2 linked regions of the Xenopus tropicalis genome follow. The main gene of each other region encodes a partner of the protein of the gene in region 2 in a complex. Links are inferred from orthologs where the notes say so. Each region holds a gene or a part of one and is shown on either strand. Other genes may lie near its edges. The genes, in order: sh3bp2 and tnks2.

Region 1 (9,359 bases), on a different chromosome or scaffold from region 2:
CTATGTGTGATATTGATCTGTTTGACAGTGTCATTGTAGGGCATGGGGGCCCATCTGAGCCAAATGTACCACACATGGAACCAATCTTCTCATCCAATTTCCTCTGATATGTCCCAGCAATATTTACTTTAGTGATTGTTCATTCTAACAAGGTTATGTAATAACAGGCACTAAGTTTGCCCAGGAGCAGTAGCCCTTAGCAACCAATGAGCAGGTAGAATTTACCGGACACCTGTTTAAAAGCAAACATCTTATTGGTTGCTATGGGTTACTGCTCCTGGGCAAATTTAGTGCCTTTTATTACATATAGGGGTTGTTGGTGTCTTTATTCTCTGGTGTTACGATCAGCAGGGTTGTCGATAAACGGTTGCTAATAAGAGAATTGGCCTGGGCTCTGCACTCCACAGAGTAGATAGTAGCATAGCAGGTATAGTAGGGCAACATGGTGACAGTAGGATAAGAGAATAACAGCAGGAAAAGATGGAGGCAGTTATCCTTGAAAAAGTTGCTGCTGAAGTGCAACTCCCTGTGGCTGCCATGGAGTACTGGGAGATGGGGTTCAGCAACAGGTTTCTCAATTCTACAAAATATGTATGTACCAAATGTGGGTGGAGATGGGAGCACAATAGTGACTGGACATGACAAAAAGCCATCTTTGCCTTCCAGAGGCTACTGTCCCCAGCACGGAAGGCATCATCTCTCCTTACTATGCCACAGCCACAGTCCCTTCCCAGAGGCTATTATCCCCCCACTGCTACTATAGGCACCATCTATCCCTACTATACCTGCTATCCCACAGCCCCAGTCCCTTCCCAGAGGCTATTATCCCCCCACTGCTACTATAGGCACCATCTCTCCCTACTATACCTGCTATCCCACAGCCCCAGTCCCTTCCCAGAGGCTATTATCCCCCCACTGCTACTATAGGCACCATCTCTCCCTACTATACCTGCTATCCCCCTGCCCCAGTCCCTTTCCAGAGGCTATTATCCCCCCACTGCTACTATAGGCACCATCTCTCCCTACTATACCTGCTATCCCACAGCCCCAGTCCCTTCCCAGAGGCTATTATCCCCCCACTGCTACTATAGGCACCATCTCTCCTTACTATGCCACAGCCACAGTCCCTTCCCAGAGGCTATTATCCCCCCACTGCTACTATAGGCATCATCTCTCCTTACTATGCCACAGCCACAGTCCCTTCCCAGAGGCTATTATCCCCCCACTGCTACTATAGGCACCATCTCTCCCTACCACTATATATTTAATAATATGAGATTATATTATACAGTATCTAGTAGAATTAAGTCTAAAACAACTGGACTTTTCTGAGTTTTTCTTGAAAACGTTTCACCACTCATCCGAGTGGCTTCTTCAGTTCAAATGACTGGTAGGGAATTCCCCGGTATTTAAACTCAGAAAAGTCCAGTTGTTTTAGACTTAATTCTACTAGATACTGTATATCATGACCTGGATGAATGAGAATCTTCATAGACATGAGATTATATTAACACCATGTGATATCTTTATATTCATCTATGGGATGATGCACTTCACACTCTGTTTGAATGGCCAACATTAGTTCTCAAAACAGAGCTTGGGACGACTGTGGCGGTTGTAAGGGGTGGATTGTGGTACATGTTACTATAGGAACAAAACCTACTAAACCGTGTGAACCTGGCATATTCACATGGTTGTGGTGACTCTCTTTTGAAATATTGTATTTTTCATCATGTTCATTAGAAAACAGGAACTGTCTTGCCTTTCCCTCATGGTATCTCCAGACTTCATGATGCACTTTGTCTGGACTTAGTCTTTTTTAGGTTGAAAAAATACATCCATCCATCACGTTTTTTATAAAACCTCTCTTCTATCCCCAGAAGTCATAGGCATTATGGTTGCTGTCTTGTATAAAAAAGGACATTGACTCAAGGGATGAGAACATAATTTTGCCCCTTTATAGGTCCCTGGTAAGGCCTCACCTTGAGTATGCAGTGCAGTTTTGGGCTCCAGTCCTTAAGAAGGATATTAATGAGCTGGAGAGAGTGCAGAGACGTGCAACTAAACTGGTTAAGGGGATGGAAGGGTTAAACTATGAGGTGAGACTGTCAGGGTTGGGGTTGTTTTCTCTGGAAAAGAGGCGCTTGCGAGGGGACATGATTACTCTGTACAAGTACATTAGAGGGGATTATAGGCAGTTGGGGGATGTTCTTTTTTCCCATAAAAACAATCAACGCACCAGAGGTCACCCCTTTAGATTAGAGGAAAGGAGCTTCCATTTGAAGCAGCGTAGGTGGTTTTTCACGGTGAGGGCAGTGAGGTTGGGGAATGCCCTTCCTAGAGATGGGGTAATGGCAGATTCTGTTAATGCCTTTAAGAGGGGCCTGGATGAGTTCTTGATCAATCAGAATATCCAAGGCTATTGTGATACTAATATCTACAGTTAGTACTAGTGGTTGTATTTATAGTTTATGTATGTGAGTGTATAGATTGGTAGGTGTGGGTTGGGTGCGCTGGGTTTACTTGGATGGGTTGAACTTGATGGACACTGGTCTTTTTTCAACCCTATGTAACTATGTAACTATGTAACGTTCAACCATAATGCCTATGACTTCTGGGGATAGAAGAGAGGTTTTATAAAAAAAAAAAAATTGTAAGGCAGCACCAACTGGAGGGTGGCAATCATGCCATAAAAGGATACAGAGCTACCATAGCAACCAATCATCAATTATCTTTGATCAGTCAGCTGCAAGATGAATATTAAAAGCAAATTTGTCCATTGTTAGGGACACTCTATGTAATATTAGCGAATCAGTTATAAGGGTATATAGGGTATTGTTTGTACAGAAAACTATTAGCTGTATTTCATTTGTATGTTTCATGCAGGATGCTGCCACTCTGCAGAGCTATTTAACTAAATAGGAAACTGAGCAGCAAACTGGCAAGTGAGGTTCAGTGTTGATAAATGTGAGCTTTGGTAGAAATAATATAAATGTGAGTTAAACACATGTTAGGGATATCCTTATTTGAGAAGGATATGGGGATTTTTGTGGATAACAAGCTGTGTAACTCTAGGCAGCATTCTTTTGTGGCTGCTAAAGCAAATAAAGTGCTGTCTTGTATAATAACTCAAGGGATGAAAACATAATTTTGCCCCTTTATAGGTCCCTGGTAAGGCCTCACCTTGAGTATGGGGGGCAGTTTTGGGCTCCAGTCCTTAAGAAGGATATTAATGAGCTGGAGAGAGTGCAGAGACTGCAACTAAACTGGTAAAGGGGATGGAAGGGTTAAACTATGAGGTTAGACTGTCACGGTCGGGGTTGTTTTATCTGAAGAAAAGGTGCTGGACATAATTGCCCTTTACAAGTACATTAGAGGGGATTATAGACAGATAGTGGGGGGTCTCTTTTCACATAGAAAAGAACAAAGAAGAGCCCTGACCTCACTGTAGACTTTTAGGGCTCTTGCACAAGGGGAGATTAGTGGCCCGTGACAAATCTCCCTGTTCGCGGGCGACTAATCTCCATGAAATGCCATCCCACCGGCGAAAATGTAAATCGCCGGTGGGATGGCATACGTGGCGCCTAGGAAGTTGCCTTGAGAGGAAACTTCCTAGATCAGTGCTGTATTATACGTATACTAGTAACCATTTGTCTTTTTATTTATTTATATTTTCCCTCCCAATGCAAAATATGCAAAGTGTATTATGTAATATCCCTACATAGCAAGCAAGATATATGGTTGTTTTCAGGCACAATGAGCTTATAGGCCTGGGAGGGGATGTGCCTGTCATTATCCACTTCTTGTGACCCCCATAGAAAAGAATAGGGATGCGACTCACAATGCGACCTTACCCCAAGTGGCAGTTTGTGGCCCTATTAGGAGGGGCACCTTATTAAACACCATTCTAATAGGAGGTGTGCCTTATTCAAAACTATTCTATTAGGAGGGGCACCTTATTAAACACCATTCTAATAGGAGGTGTGCCTTATTCAAAACTATTCTATTAGGAGGGGCACCTTATTAAACACCATTCTAATAGGAGGTGTGCCTTATTCAAAACTATTCTATTAGGAGGGGCACCTTATTAAACACCATTCTAATAGGAGGTGTGCCTTATTCAAAACTATTCTATTAGGAGGGGCACCTTATTAAACACCATTCTAATAGGAGGTGTGCCTTATTCAAAACTATTCTATTAGGAGGGGCCCCTTATGAAATGTTAGGCATTGCCCTTTTTTCAACACTATTCTAATAGGAGGTGCACCTTATGCTGCCCTCGTCTGATAGGAGGTGTTCCTTATTCAAAACTATTCTAATAGGTGTGTTGTATTCAACACCAATCTAACGGGTGTCCAAGTTGCAACCCCATTCCAATAGGAGGTGCCCCTTATGCTTCAACATTTTAATGCGTTGCACAGAGGTGTATGAAATGCAGCCGTGTTATTCCCCAAGTCTGCCTCACTCTAAAGTGTTTTATGTGGCCCCTGGTGACTGTGCCTGACCGTACAGTATCTTAGCCAGCCGTACAGACTTAGCCTGTTTTAGATTTCGGCCCCCTTATGTGATTGAGTTTGACACCCCTGCTCTAAAGCATACAAACAACATTTAGTATTACCCATTTACAAGTCCATTAGTATAGGATTAAAAAACTCTGAGGTCAGATTTTTCTACATTTCAGCAATGCCATGACATATTTGGCTGAAAGCATGGCCGCTGTTGCCCATGCCGTTAGCAGACATTAGAGGAGAGGCTAGACTGAGGCCAGTTCAGGTGAGCGTGCCTTCCCTCAGTTCCCTTTTTCATAAATGGGGAAGCGCTTTCTCTATAAAAGTAATGTGGTCCCCGCCCGGAAATCCCCCTGTGATTTCTTTATTTTTTTAAAAGGCAGCAATTGGCTCAGGGCTGGGTTCCCATAGTAAAGCCGTGGGCTTACGGCCAGGACGCTTGCATCTGATAAATGCACGTTGCAGACCCCAGGAAGGAGGAAGTTGCAGCCACAAGACAGGAAATAAGTCACCGGCCAGCTCCATCGCTTGTGTCCACCCTACAAGCAGCATTAGTTCAGCTTTTTCCCCTTGAAGCTCGCAGCAAGGCGTGGAGCAGAGCGGCACAGAAGTCACCGTTAACTTCTACTTCCCCTCCCCATTATCTGCACCGTTCTGAATACTCGTCCCCTCTGCTCAGCATGCGTCTGGCCTTCCGGACCATGTTTTTTACCTAATGGCTACAAATATAAAAAGATCACAGTCGCTGGCGGTTTCATTCGAGAGGAGGACCATGTGTAGGCAGGACATAAGGTAAGTGATTGCTCGGATGCAGCAATCTCAGTCTTACGTGGGTTATTATTATTTGTATCCATAGTACACAGAATACTGGGGATCTATCAACATGGGATAATGGCTCCCATTTATTAACAGTGGGCAAAAAACTGTGCAAATGTTGGTATAGGTTGGCACTTATTATTGCCCCAGGTGCAGGATGACACTGCCAGTGCATGGCACAACATTTTACATTAGTAGGAGTAAGTAAATCCTGCACTAATTACATACTCGTCAATAGGGGTGTCAATCTTGGCCATTCTCTTATATGCCCTCCATTGTCACCAATGAAATCATGTGTGGGTGCAGAAGCCAAAGAGAACCCTGAGCTAAACAGGTGAGTAAATGCAGGAGTAAGTGCCATCTCTATGGCTTCTATACAGATGCACATTTGCACCCATTTCTGCAGCTAGCACTTTGCCCACTGTTAGTAAATCAGGCACAAGAAGTAATAGTATCTGCATTAATGACCAGATTGTGTTTCCCAGTGAGTTGTACAACAGTTGCTTGTTTGGTTGGCACTGTAGCCTGGCATAGTGATGTATAGGGGTCTCACCTGCATGGCTGTCAATGTAAAACTATCTGGTGATTGGTTGCTAGAAAGGTTTGCTTCCTGCAGACTTGCTGCTGGCCACATGGAACTGTATTGGTGGCATACCTGTATGACTGTGTTGAAGGGGGAAAATAATTGGGTTTATTTTGTTGTCTATTTAGAAAGGGCAGCTGACTCCATTAGTGGGGCCTGAGGCAAAGTGGAGCCCCGTAATTTAGATCCCAGCCCAACAATTCTCTAGCTGTTAGTGAGATATAACCCTCAGCATCTCCTGGCAGCCTTTGGCTGATGATGGAGGCAGGGAGTTTAAACCAAGCAACCAATAGGGCAAAAGGGTTAGAAGGCAAGCGGTAATAAAGGTTTTAAATAGAGATGCACCAAACCCACTTTTTTGGGTTTGGCCGAACCTCCGAACCCACCCAGAAGAATTCGACCGAATCTCGAACCGAATCCGAATCCTTATTATCATATGCTGATTAGGATCGGAAGGGGTTAAAACCAGGATTCGGTGCATCCCTAGTTTTAAAGCAGTGGGTGCCTTTGTTTGGAATGTAATACCATTAATGTGCTAATTATATCATAGGTGGAACTGCTGGATTGGCATGATATTTTTTATCAGGACCCCCTTTCAGTTTGCCACTTTATTATTGCATTTATTTGTTATATTCCCTTCCTAGATATGTGGTGCGCACCTCTATACTCTGCATGTAACTGCTGATCGGCAGTACCCCACAGATGTAGGATCCATTTAAAGACAGGGCTAAGAGAAGGGTTACATTGACTATAAAAGCCAGGTCTGTGTTATAGAGACATCATCACTAAATAAGGCCTGTGATACAGTAAGTGCTAAGGGTATTATCTCAGGCCGAGGAAAGACAATGGCTGGGGGGCTGTAAGACTCATTTAACAAACAAACTAATAATTATTATTGTTTATAGTTTTCTGTTCAATCCCTCTCCTGCTTGTACATCATTCTAATGCCAGGTTGCTAAAACCAATGGCCATAGCAACTAGATAGCAGTCTTCTCTAGTTCTCCAAACTAGAGAAGTGCAGAAGGGGAAACAAAAGTTATAATGTCATTAAAATCTCATTGCCACTGACTGAGGGTTCTGGGAGTCACAGGTTTGATATCCCTTCATAGACCATAAAACCTTCCTTTTAATAATGTTACTGTTTGCTTTAATGCACATGAAAATGACTCATTCATTCTGTTTCTTGTGTGTTTATAAATAACAATACTTATTGCTCGCTACTGAGTCACACTTTCCAATAAAATTTAATCTGCGAGACTGATGTGGGAGGGATAGTCAGAGCCAACAGAGAGCAGAAAAGAAAGAGACAGACAGACACCATGATTTACAAAAAAACCTATTAATTATTGAATGTTTGTTTTTAATGTATGTTGAAAAGTTGCTTAGAATTTTTAGGCAAAATTCTATACAGGTATGGGACCTATTATTCAGAATGCTTGGGACCTGGGGTTTTCCAGATAAGGAGTCTTTCTATAATTCGGATTATTACAGAGAAAATGGAATCATTTAAATATTAAATAAACCCAATAGGGCAGTTCTGCCCCCAATAAGGGGTAATTATATCTTAGTTGGGATCAAGTACAGGTACTGTTTTATTATTACAGAGAAAAGGGAATCATTTAACCATTAAATAAACCCAATAGGGCTGTTCTGCCCCCAATAAGGGGTAATTATATCTTAGTTGGGATCAAGTACAGGTACTGTTTTATTATTACAGAGAAAAGGGAATCATTTAACCATGAAATAAACCCAATAGGACTGTTCTGCCCCCAATAAGGGGTAATTATATCTTAGTTGGGATCAAGTACAGGTACTGTTTTATTATTACAGAGAAAAGGGAATCATTTATTTAATGGGTTTCTGGATAAGGGGTCCAATACCTGTATTTGGGAACCATTATATATATTTGGGGTCCCTTGCTGCTGTCCTTGCCCTGTGTAAGTTGTAATTTTATATCTAAATATGGTACCCTATGGCAGTGGCACACAGTACTATTATTAGTGTTTTGATCCCAAAGCTCCATAGGAAGGGGCAATATTCTTAAAAGGGCCCCCTTTTAGTTGGGTGGCTATATGGGTGCACCTACTTATCAGGAGATCTGGCAGACAACAGAATATCCGTGCTTGTTCAGCAAAATGTGGTGATTTCCCACAATCTCCCTGTATCAGAAAAGAGACTGGGTGGCACAGGGGATAAATGAGGGAAGGCCTGGGTGCCTGTAATGACTTCCTTCTTTACTCCTTGTGCCCTTGGGAGAGTGGCTTTATCTGCCTGTGCTTCGAACTTCAAACCTTCAACCAGGCTTTTGTCTTTATTGCCTAGTGCCTAGCCAGAAAGCAAACACCTAATTGGTTGCTTGAGGTTACTAGGTTGGAACAAAAGCTTATCCATGTGAATAAATTGTGCATTAAATTCTATACTTTGGCCATCCATGGCCTCTATATGCCATTACAAGTACATTAGAAAGTTGGTAGTGGGCTAAGGTACCCTACTCTACCCAATAATTGTTAGGGCAAATGGTCTATTCTGCACCAGTCAGGGTATAACATCTGTTTGGTTAATGCTTTGCCCCACTCTAGGGTATATATTTAGCTATATTGTAGTTCCTTGGCTAATAAGCTCCTTTAGTAGCCAGGGAACCCTGAACAGTGCATTTTGTGGCTTACAAAGTATATTTTACCCAAGCAGGCAATATGGCAGCTCCCACTCAAGTATATACATTTAGATATGCAGAGAATTAATGTTCAGTACAGAAACAGTTACCAGAAATGTAGCGTGTTGGTACAGCTGTTTTTCTTTGAGTTTACTGATAAGAAAGTAGATTATAGGGAAGGAGAGGAATGGTCCAGCCCAAATGGCATTGGCTGACCTTCACTTTATCTTGCTGACTTTGTAGCACAGATTTCAGTAGCCAGCAGGCAGACTGAGAGTTGTTTTTATCTAATTTAAGAAGCCCTCCCCTACATTTCCTATGGTAGGTGCAGCGGCTGTGCATTAGTGCCCACTCTGCATTGCTGCCCACTCTGCATTGCTGCCCACTCTGCATTGCTGCCCACTCTGCATTGCTGCCCACTCTGCATTAGTGCCCACTCTGCATTAGTGCCCACTCTGCATTAGTGCCCACTCTGCATTAGTGCCCACTCTGCATTACTGCCCACTCTGCATTTCCTAAACTCGTGTTTATCTCCCAGTTCCCCCTCAATTCTGTATCCTGCCCACGCACTAGCACGCTTATTTATATATCTGCCTCAGATGAGTGGGAGGATTTGAGAAACATCAGCTATTTATAGGATAAGAGAAGGTGCGTGGGTGACTTGTGGGTGCTGAAAATTCCCCCTTGGCTGAAAAAGGATGTGCTGCCTTTTATGAGTGATTTTTCTGAAACGGGGGGGAATTGTGCAGGGCTAATATATAATATAAACTAAGGGACCTCTATTGCAGTCGCTATGTAG
Region 2 (8,725 bases):
TTTGCACATTGCAGAACATGTTGGGGCCATCTGGAAGGTGTTGAATTAGAGTTATACAGTCCTAAAAGCAGCAGGAATCCAAACTAAAGCACCACCTGTATGTTTATTTAGGTAAATAGAGGAGGTGAGGTAGCTCTTGGAATGTTCTGAGGAAATGATGTCTGAATGTTATTTGAAAAGTTCAGTATTTGCAATTAGAAAAACATTTTTTTTTTATTTATACTCATCTCAAAAGCTTTGAAAGATTTATAATCAAGAAAGTTCCAATATATATGTGTCAAAAGGAAATGGATCTTGTTACACAGTTTACCTCTTCTTCAACTGAAAGAAATTCTTTGTCATCAGGAGCAAGATCAATCAGGATTGTTCCACTGTTAGCTGTATTCAGTGTTAAATAAGGGTTCAAACCTAAATAAAAGTAAAACAACAACAAAGGCAAGGGTTATGTTAGACAATTTTCTAGCAGCTTCCCATGTTTTGTTTTCCGTGGCATTTAACAATGTTATTTATGTTTATATACACAAAGTGATCTATATTCTTATAGTTTGTCCAGTCTGCAAAATATATTACATGTATCCATTAGTCATTCAGTTTCAGAGTAAAATCCATCACCTGAGTATAAGCTAAGTTAAAGAATGCCTCTTGTATACTTATAAAGTCCATTAATGGTTAGTTTCATTGGAATAAAAGTTGTCACTTTCAAGGCATGAACATAAAATGTTTAAATATTTTCTGCAATGTTCTTTACAATTAAAGTGCCCAAATGAGAAGGAAAATTATTCCAATGATACTGAGGGAATGACAAACTGTAACAGAGAAGAGTTGCTACCATTTAAAAAGTCACGTGTGCCAAAATCTACATCTGAAATCAGTTGACCATAGCTACAGTTGTTACTTTACCATAACTTTCCTTGAAGAAATACAACTAACACTTTGCATGTATCACTTACTTTTTAGTACATGATACTACTTTTCAGTAAATGCTTAAAATGTAGGCTCTACTTTTTAATACACAAATGATAGCACAACATTAGTTACAGTGACTGGAAAACTCTACCTTAAATGTATAAAGGATTAATAAGGAATATTAGATCTTTTTAATTACCATGCTGTCCAGAGATGAGTCTCTCTACTCCTTTGATGATCTTGTGTCTGTGTCCATACGCATTTATTCCAATCTCCTTGAATTCCTTATGGCCCATTTCAATTAAAACATCTAATGTGATCTAAAACAACATGAATTCCACAATCCTCATACCAAAGTGCTGCCATGTACAATTGGGTTGGATAAGTCTGGACAGAATACAGTATTTAGAGTTCTGTATTTAAACAAAAAAAGTAATTCTAAGATGCACCAAATCCATAAATGATTATATTTATTTTAAATATTTTTCTTCAGTAATCACAACTTATTGTAAGCTGCCACAGAAATACTGTATGTTTAAATACATATTTTAGCCAAGGAATCAAAGTTGCCAGGCTTCATTTTGCATCAAATGCAGCAGATCCCAGATTTTGCTTGACTGGTGATGGAGATAAGTGTGGGTATTAGTATGCAAACCTGCAGGAAACAAAATGTCTGTGATGCTAGCTGGTTTACTAAAAATATTCTATCACTAAATGCTGCAATCTTCCTGCACAGCAATAACTGATGAGCAGAACATATAACATGAATAAGAACAATTCATTAAATATGACTACATAAAGTACTAACCTGCTCTCGCTCAAAGATATCGATTAAGTGCTCTAGGCCAAGGTTCCGCAAAAATTGATTGATGCTCAACTCTACACCTGGAACTATGGAGAAAATTGTACAGTTAAAGACACGCTTTATTATTCCTTGGTCATCATAAAGACTTCTTACCTTCTTTCTAGTAGGGGTAAATAACCAAAGTACCTGGTGATTTTTTGTTCAAAAGCTTTGGACTATAGTTGATGTATTGGTAAAAGTTCATACTCTGGGCAGATATGGCTTTATATTGCTTTGTTCACTCTGACACCCATCTGCCCTACTGGAGCATAAGTTGCTTTATTTTAATTTTGTCTGTTTTGCGTTTTGAATCAATAAAATGTACCTTTTTAAAAAAAAAAAAAAAAAAATCTTTAAATAGAAGTGATCACCGGCCTACTTTTGAGGAAAAAAAATTGTGCCACAATGTCACTGGTGCCGTCAATAATGACATAATACTGGCAACAAAATGGAGAACATGTAAATGCTGAAGGTACTTTTTATTTGAGATTATAAAGCTGCAGTAAAAGTTCCACAGATAGTTACAAAATGATGACAGCATTAAGCACATCTTACCTTCTTCTTTCTTATCCAATCCAGATGCTCCTTCAGCTCCTCCACTACTAACAGAGGTGGCTTCTGAGAAGCCGGAAGCCAAGTTATCCAGGCTACTTGCAGCAGAGAGAGTTGGTGAACTTGATGGCACAGAAGAAAGGGTTGCCACAGCAGTGGCAGAAGGCTGAGAAACATTTATTAGTTGTGGCTTATAAAATGTTGACAGAGCAGCTGGAGGCATGGCAGCTGTCAGAAGAGCCCGAACATCATCAGCCTGATCACAGAGAAAAGATAATTAGTCACAGTTTAATCCAATTAGGCTTATTATACATGTATATAAAATATTTTTAGCACTGCTAAAGAAACCAAGAATGCCTAAATATTTAGGTTGCTAAAGCAATGTTGAAGAAAAAAAGTCTACACTTTTTTTTTTCCAGCCACAGACCTCAAGCGGAAGAATAAAGCCACATAGGAACAATGCCACTGTACTTCAAAGGTCACACAGATGTCCTTTGTTAACAGGACCAGAAACTTTTATTTTAATTAAGTTAATGTGAAGCAGAGAAAGCAGGAATGGTTGGCTGATACAAAATTCTGCAAGAAACTTCAAGGATATTTTCAATCTACACAGCAACTTGAACGCCAGTTAATGCAGCTAGGCAAAAAATGCAAGCATGCGGTTTATAAATTAGTGCTAATATGCAGCAATTAACAGAAACGGATATATTGCTAAAAGTATTATCAACCGGCGCTGTAAGACTGACAAAATGTTCACAATCATTTTCTAGTTGAAATAAATCTAAATAATAAAATGGCCATCAACTTACTGTTACCAAGTCTAATGGAGCTTGCCCTTCTTGGTTTTTCAAAGTAGGATCTGCCCCATGTGCCAGGAGCAGAGCGCAAAGCTGAGTTCTTCCTTTCTGAGCTGCTTCATGCAAGGGCGTAAAAGCCCATTTGTCAGTGGCATTGACACATGCATTATATTTAATGAGCAAAGCTGCCACGTCCACATGCTGCAAAACAACAATAGCTTTGTGGGTTACTTCTGAATTATCAACAGAAGATTTAGACAAACATATGCCAATAAACAAACTGTTTACCCCATATGATGCTGCATTGTGTAAAGGGATAAGGCCTCCCTTGTCTTGCGCATTTACATCAGCACCATTTTGTAAGAGGTACTCTGCAACTTCCAGGTTATTGTAGCCAGCTGTGAATAAAATCAGCTGCGTCAGAAATGACATTCAGGTGGAGTCACACAAATATGAACATTTACATAGAAGAGCAAGATCAGGAACAAGCTAATGGTTATGTAATACTAAGTAAAGAGATAAAAATTCAAGAAAATGTTGAAAACTTCATGATGTGAATGATGTATAAACTCTGTGTAAAAGGATCTATGCACTGTAACTGAAATGAGAAAGAAACCTATTAAGAGAACTTCGGCGTCCTCAGAGGCCTTTATACCCCCCATTCTGAATCACACCATGTGAATATAAAGCAGCGCAGTGGGGTTGGTGGGCACCATCTGTGGCTGCTTGAGGTCCTTTCAACAGCTATCAACTGTGCACATTTCTTGTCAGCAAAGTCAGGACCAGATCGGCTTCATATGTGCAGAGTCTGGCCATCACAGAGCTGGGAAAAGGAGGTCAATTGGGCAAAGGTTGTGGCTGCCAACCCTACTGTGCTACTCAGGGCTAAACAAGGCTGTATTGGTGTCATTCTGGTGTGGCCCAGGAACAGGAAGGGCAGCATCTTTATGGAGCCTTAGTTATATAACTAGTATTTGCTTTCCTTTAGTGATATGAGTGGGTTTTGCTATCCTTTAATGAATATTAACTAATGCTTTCCTTGAAGTTCAACTGTATCTGTAAAACTATAAAAATAAAAACCTCTACCCAAAAGCAGTGGGACTTGCTGTAGAGAAAAAAAAAAAAAAAATCTTTACCAAAATAAAGCTGCTTCACCCAACTGACCTGCTAGATGAAGTGGTGTAGAATGTCTTCCCTGCGTATCCCTACAATTGACATTTTCAGGAGTACATAGTTTTTTAACCCGTGATACACAGCCCTTCTTAGCAGCGTCTAACAATGCAGCATCCCCTCTGAGAAGATCTTGAATGTCAGTATCTCCATCTTTCACCAAGTCCAAAGGGGTGTTTCCATCTCGGTTTTTCTTTGTTGAATCAGCTCCATGCTATTTATCACAGATATTATAAAAATTACAATGTAAAAAAAATTTTCATTATGGCTAGTTGTAACATAAAACATTAAAACGCCATGACTTGCTGCTGTTTTGCTTTCAGACACAAAAGAGGGTAGGCACCTGGTCTCTATTATCTTAGCACTATCTGTGAACTGTTTCTCAGTTTCCCCAAGTAACTGCTGATTGGGCAGGGCCATATGGGAAAATAAAAGTGGGCAAATACAAGCCAACTTCCAGGATACCCTTATAATTTGGCCATACAAGCATATACCTGCATCGCACTCATGTAAATTATATACAGTATTGCTGTTCTGTGTTAGCCAGTGGCCTCATGAATGATCATACCAAACCGATTAAACCTTATTTTCCCTTACGATCAGTAAACTGTTTGGTCAAAGCTGGGCAGTTTGGATGTAGTAATCAGATTAACCAGTCCTGTGTGGCCTTATCTAATGAAGCTGGTTCCCATGATGCTACTTAAATAAAAAAAAAAATAGAGCTCTGTAAGTCTAAATTTAAAACAAGATGACGCAATAGTTAGCACTGTTGCCTTGCCATTCTGGGGTCCTAGGTTCTATTTCAGCCTGGGCACTATCTGCTGTATATTTTCCTTCATGTCTGTGTGGGTTTTTTCTGGATACTTTAGTTTCCACCCACACTCAGGTTAACTGGTTCTTGATGAAACGGACCATAGTGTAATTAAACGTGATAGGACTTAGACTATAAGCTCTATGGAGCAGGGACTGGTATGAACATTGCATAATATCTGTAAAGAACAGCGGAATAAACTTTAAAAAAATAAAAATGTATTTAAAAAAAAAAAAACTATTGCAATCACACATAATCTAGAAGCCTTGTAATGCCAAAAGATAGATTGGTTCTTTCAACCACCAACAGAAGATTCAACATTGCAACATGATATAAAAGTTTGCTGAACTAGCCAAGTCCGTTTATATTATTTTTATCTACAACTTGGTAATTTTCCTGTGGGACCAAACTTTAAATTATATCCTTATAAATGGTGCTTTCCTTCATCAGAAGCCATTTATAACTTGAGACAGCAGTTACCACGGCTGCACTCTCCCTGCAGTGTTTCTTTTGGCTTTTCCCCCTCCAGTCTGACTTCCCTCACTTTCTTACTTCAATCCGTGCACTCACTTACTCTTCCTTCTCCTGTCTTGTTCCCTCTCACTTTTTTTCCTCTGCCCCTCTCCAGTCATGATCCCTCTGCTGCTCCCACCTTCCATCCATCTCCGGTCTCTCACTCTACTCCACCTACTCTGTTACTCTCTAGTCTTGCTCTGTCTACTGATTCCATTTTGCATCCATCTCTGGTCTTAGCATCTCCCTCCCACCCTCTGCCCCTCTCTGGTCTTGCTCTGTCTGCCGCTCCCATTCACCATCCAACTCCATTTTTCGCTCCCTTTATGTCTCGTTCCCTCTGCCCCTAATGCATTCTCTCCCTCTTCAGTCTTGCTCCCACCCTTTAATCAATCTCTGGTGTTGCTCACACCTCGCTTCCTCCTCTCCATCCGCCTCTGCTCTTGCTTCCCCTCTCCCCATCATCGTTGTCTCCTTTTCCCTTCCTCTCATTGACCTGCACAGTTTAACACAGCTGGTTAGGATACCACTGCTCAGATCACAGGAAGGAAAAAAATGCTGAAAAAACACATGTACATAGGGACTACCGAGAGAGGCAAGACTAAACTTTAAAACAACAAGGGGAACAGAAAGGAGGAGACTAAAGTTTGTCTTTTTAGACAATAAAATGGAGCAAACAGAGAGCTCTTTGAAGACACTGCACATAGAAACACTGTAGATTATAATGAATTATACACCCCCTTACTGTAATTTATAAAGTCACCTTTTGCTTCTATATGGTCACATAACTCCTCGGGTTATATTCTTTGGGTAAAAGGTTAAACATACAAACCTGCAAAAGAAGTTTACAAATCTCATATTTTCCTTTTGCTGCAGCTTCATGCAAAGGGGTGAATTTCCATAAATCTGCAACGTTGATAACTGCTCCATGCTTGACAAGAAGCTCTGTAACCTCATAGTGACCGTAGGAACAAGCGTTGTGTAAAGGAACCAACCCGCTGTAAAGGAAATAATTTACATAACACTCTTATTTTCAACCAACAACAACGGTTAAATTCACCATTCATTTCTTCTGTTCCCAAGTTGTTCTCTGTAACTATTAAAAACCATATAAACAATGGGTTCTATTATCTGGTATGTGAGGTGCAACGGCTTCAATTTAGAGAAAAATTCATGATGGTTTAGTTAACATCACATACGAGGAACAGATACTGCAACATAGTTACATAGGGTTGAAAAAAGACCATTGTCCATCAAGTTCAACCCATCCGAGTAAACCCAGCACACAACCTATACTAACCAATCTACACACTCACATACATAAACTATATATATACAACCAGTAATACTAACTGTAGATATTAGTATCACAATAGCCTTGGATATTCTGCTTGTTCAAAAACTCATCCAGGCCCCTCTTAAAGGCATTAACAGAATCTGCCATTACCACATCACTAGGAAGGGCATTCCACAGCCTCACTGCCCTCACCGTGAAAAACCACCTACACTGCTTCAAATGGAAGCTCTGTTCCTCTAATCTATAGGGGTGACCTCTGGTGCGCTGATTGTTTTTATGGGAAAAAAAGAACATCCCCCATCTGCCTATAATCCCCTCTAATGTACTTGTACAGAGTAATCATGTCCCCTCGCAAGCGCCTCTTTTCCAGAGAAAACAGAATAAATCAGTCAAAAAATTCAAAGCTGTGTTTTAAATGGTAAATGGCAATGCTGTATTTTAAAGTGTTCTGGATAATGGGATAATGGATATCTGGATTGTAGGTCCCATTCAGACACGCTATTCTTCTTCTTCTTCAAAAAAAAAAATTTAAAATGTTAAAGTATGTAATTTTCTTTATTTTTATTGAACAAGTACAGAGAATCCCTTTCCTCCGCCCTTTATTAATCACTAGACATGAAACCACATAATAATGTGCAGGGACCAGATTTATCCCACAGTATAAATTCCCGGAGTTCTGACTTCTGGTTTGCTGGTTCAGGGCTTAGGTCTATTGTTTTTACAAATATGATATGCATTTAATTTGCAAATATATATTTCTTAATAGATTTTGCAAATACAACCTGTTCTTGAACAACTGTTTATAAACTTCCACTGCATTTACTCTGTATGCAATAAAAAAAAAAGGTTAAAAAAGGGAGTAATAGGAAAGAATTGAGCTTGTTTACCCTTTATCCTTTGCATGCACATCCGCTCCATGCTGCAAAAGATATTCCACTACTGCCACTCGATTATATCCAGCTGCAAAGTGTAGGGGTGTAGACTGACGCCCTTCTATGTCTCTACAATTAACCGACTGTGATGTGCAAAGTTTCTGTAAAGAAGGCAAAAACACTTATAATTAAAATTAAGCTCTAGGCCCTAGAGTCTAGGTGCACAATCTAGCAAAAATCCAACTGCAATCTAATTTAATACTGAATGTCTAAATTCTTGTATATATCTCAGAGGTGTGTTGTACTGCAAACTGTTTGGTACAGCTGAATCACATGATAAAAAAAATCATAATAAAAAGGGTCAGTACTCTTACAAAAACAGGCAAAGGAAAATGTGTCATTTGAGACCGTAAACATGTATGTATCATTGTATCTGGTATTTTTTAAGTATATGCCACCCTGTGTGCTAACTGTTATAGAGAAAAGGGGAATATATACCAGTGATTTATTCTTCTAAATATGTTAGCTGACTAAAGTGACATCTCTTTTGTTTAAAAACTCACAATTTCTAAATGTAGTGCCATAAAAATTTGTGTTTGCTTATGAACAATGAGCACACATGGGAAATCTAGTGATTTTAAATGCACTACAGCCAAAATGTGGCACTAACACCTAAAATATATATATTGAGTTTGAAACTGTGCACAGGCATTCTCCTCCACTTGCATAATCTCCATGTATATTACTGACACAAGGGTGTCGTATCCCTAAGATAAATCTTTGGTTAATCTCCTTTCTGCTGAACATTAGCTTTTGTATAAGAATTTTATGAAATCTTTATGTTTGATGTATACACCATAATTTAACAAAGCTGTGCAATATGCTGGTGCTTTAACAGAAAAAATGATAAGCTGATAAACCAGAGACCAGACAAAAACTATTATCTGAAGTCTGATATTAATA

The links.
Region 1: the proteins of tnks2 (region 2) and sh3bp2 are in contact, whole or in part, in a crystal structure (PDB 3TWR), measured with the Homo sapiens proteins. The link is inferred for Xenopus tropicalis from reciprocal best matches to the Homo sapiens genes TNKS2 and SH3BP2. Residues at the interface, in NP_079511.1 of Homo sapiens: Arg525, Ser527, His531, Phe532, Gly535, Tyr536, Asn537, Arg538, Leu560, Asn565, Ser568, Tyr569, His571, Asp589, Trp591, Phe593, Glu598, Lys604; in NP_001116153.1 of Homo sapiens: Leu413, Gln414, Arg415, Ser416, Pro417, Pro418, Asp419, Gly420, Gln421, Ser422, Arg424.

Annotation. Positions count from the first base shown.
Region 1 is NC_030677.2:22,006,587-22,015,945, forward strand, and holds the start of sh3bp2 (SH3 domain-binding protein 2), read left to right. Parts: upstream 1-4,828; 5' UTR 4,829-5,223; coding exon 5,224-5,300; intron 5,301-9,359. UniProt on the Homo sapiens protein: Binds differentially to the SH3 domains of certain proteins of signal transduction pathways. Binds to phosphatidylinositols; linking the hemopoietic tyrosine kinase fes to the cytoplasmic membrane in a phosphorylation dependent mechanism.
Region 2 is NC_030683.2:37,232,781-37,241,505, reverse strand, and holds part of tnks2 (tankyrase-2), read right to left. Parts: intron 7,924-8,725; coding exon 7,778-7,923; intron 6,592-7,777; coding exon 6,426-6,591; intron 4,484-6,425; coding exon 4,264-4,483; intron 3,498-4,263; coding exon 3,388-3,497; intron 3,301-3,387; coding exon 3,112-3,300; intron 2,559-3,111; coding exon 2,306-2,558; intron 1,798-2,305; coding exon 1,715-1,797; intron 1,227-1,714; coding exon 1,106-1,226; intron 409-1,105; coding exon 311-408; intron 1-310. UniProt on the Homo sapiens protein: Poly-ADP-ribosyltransferase involved in various processes such as Wnt signaling pathway, telomere length and vesicle trafficking.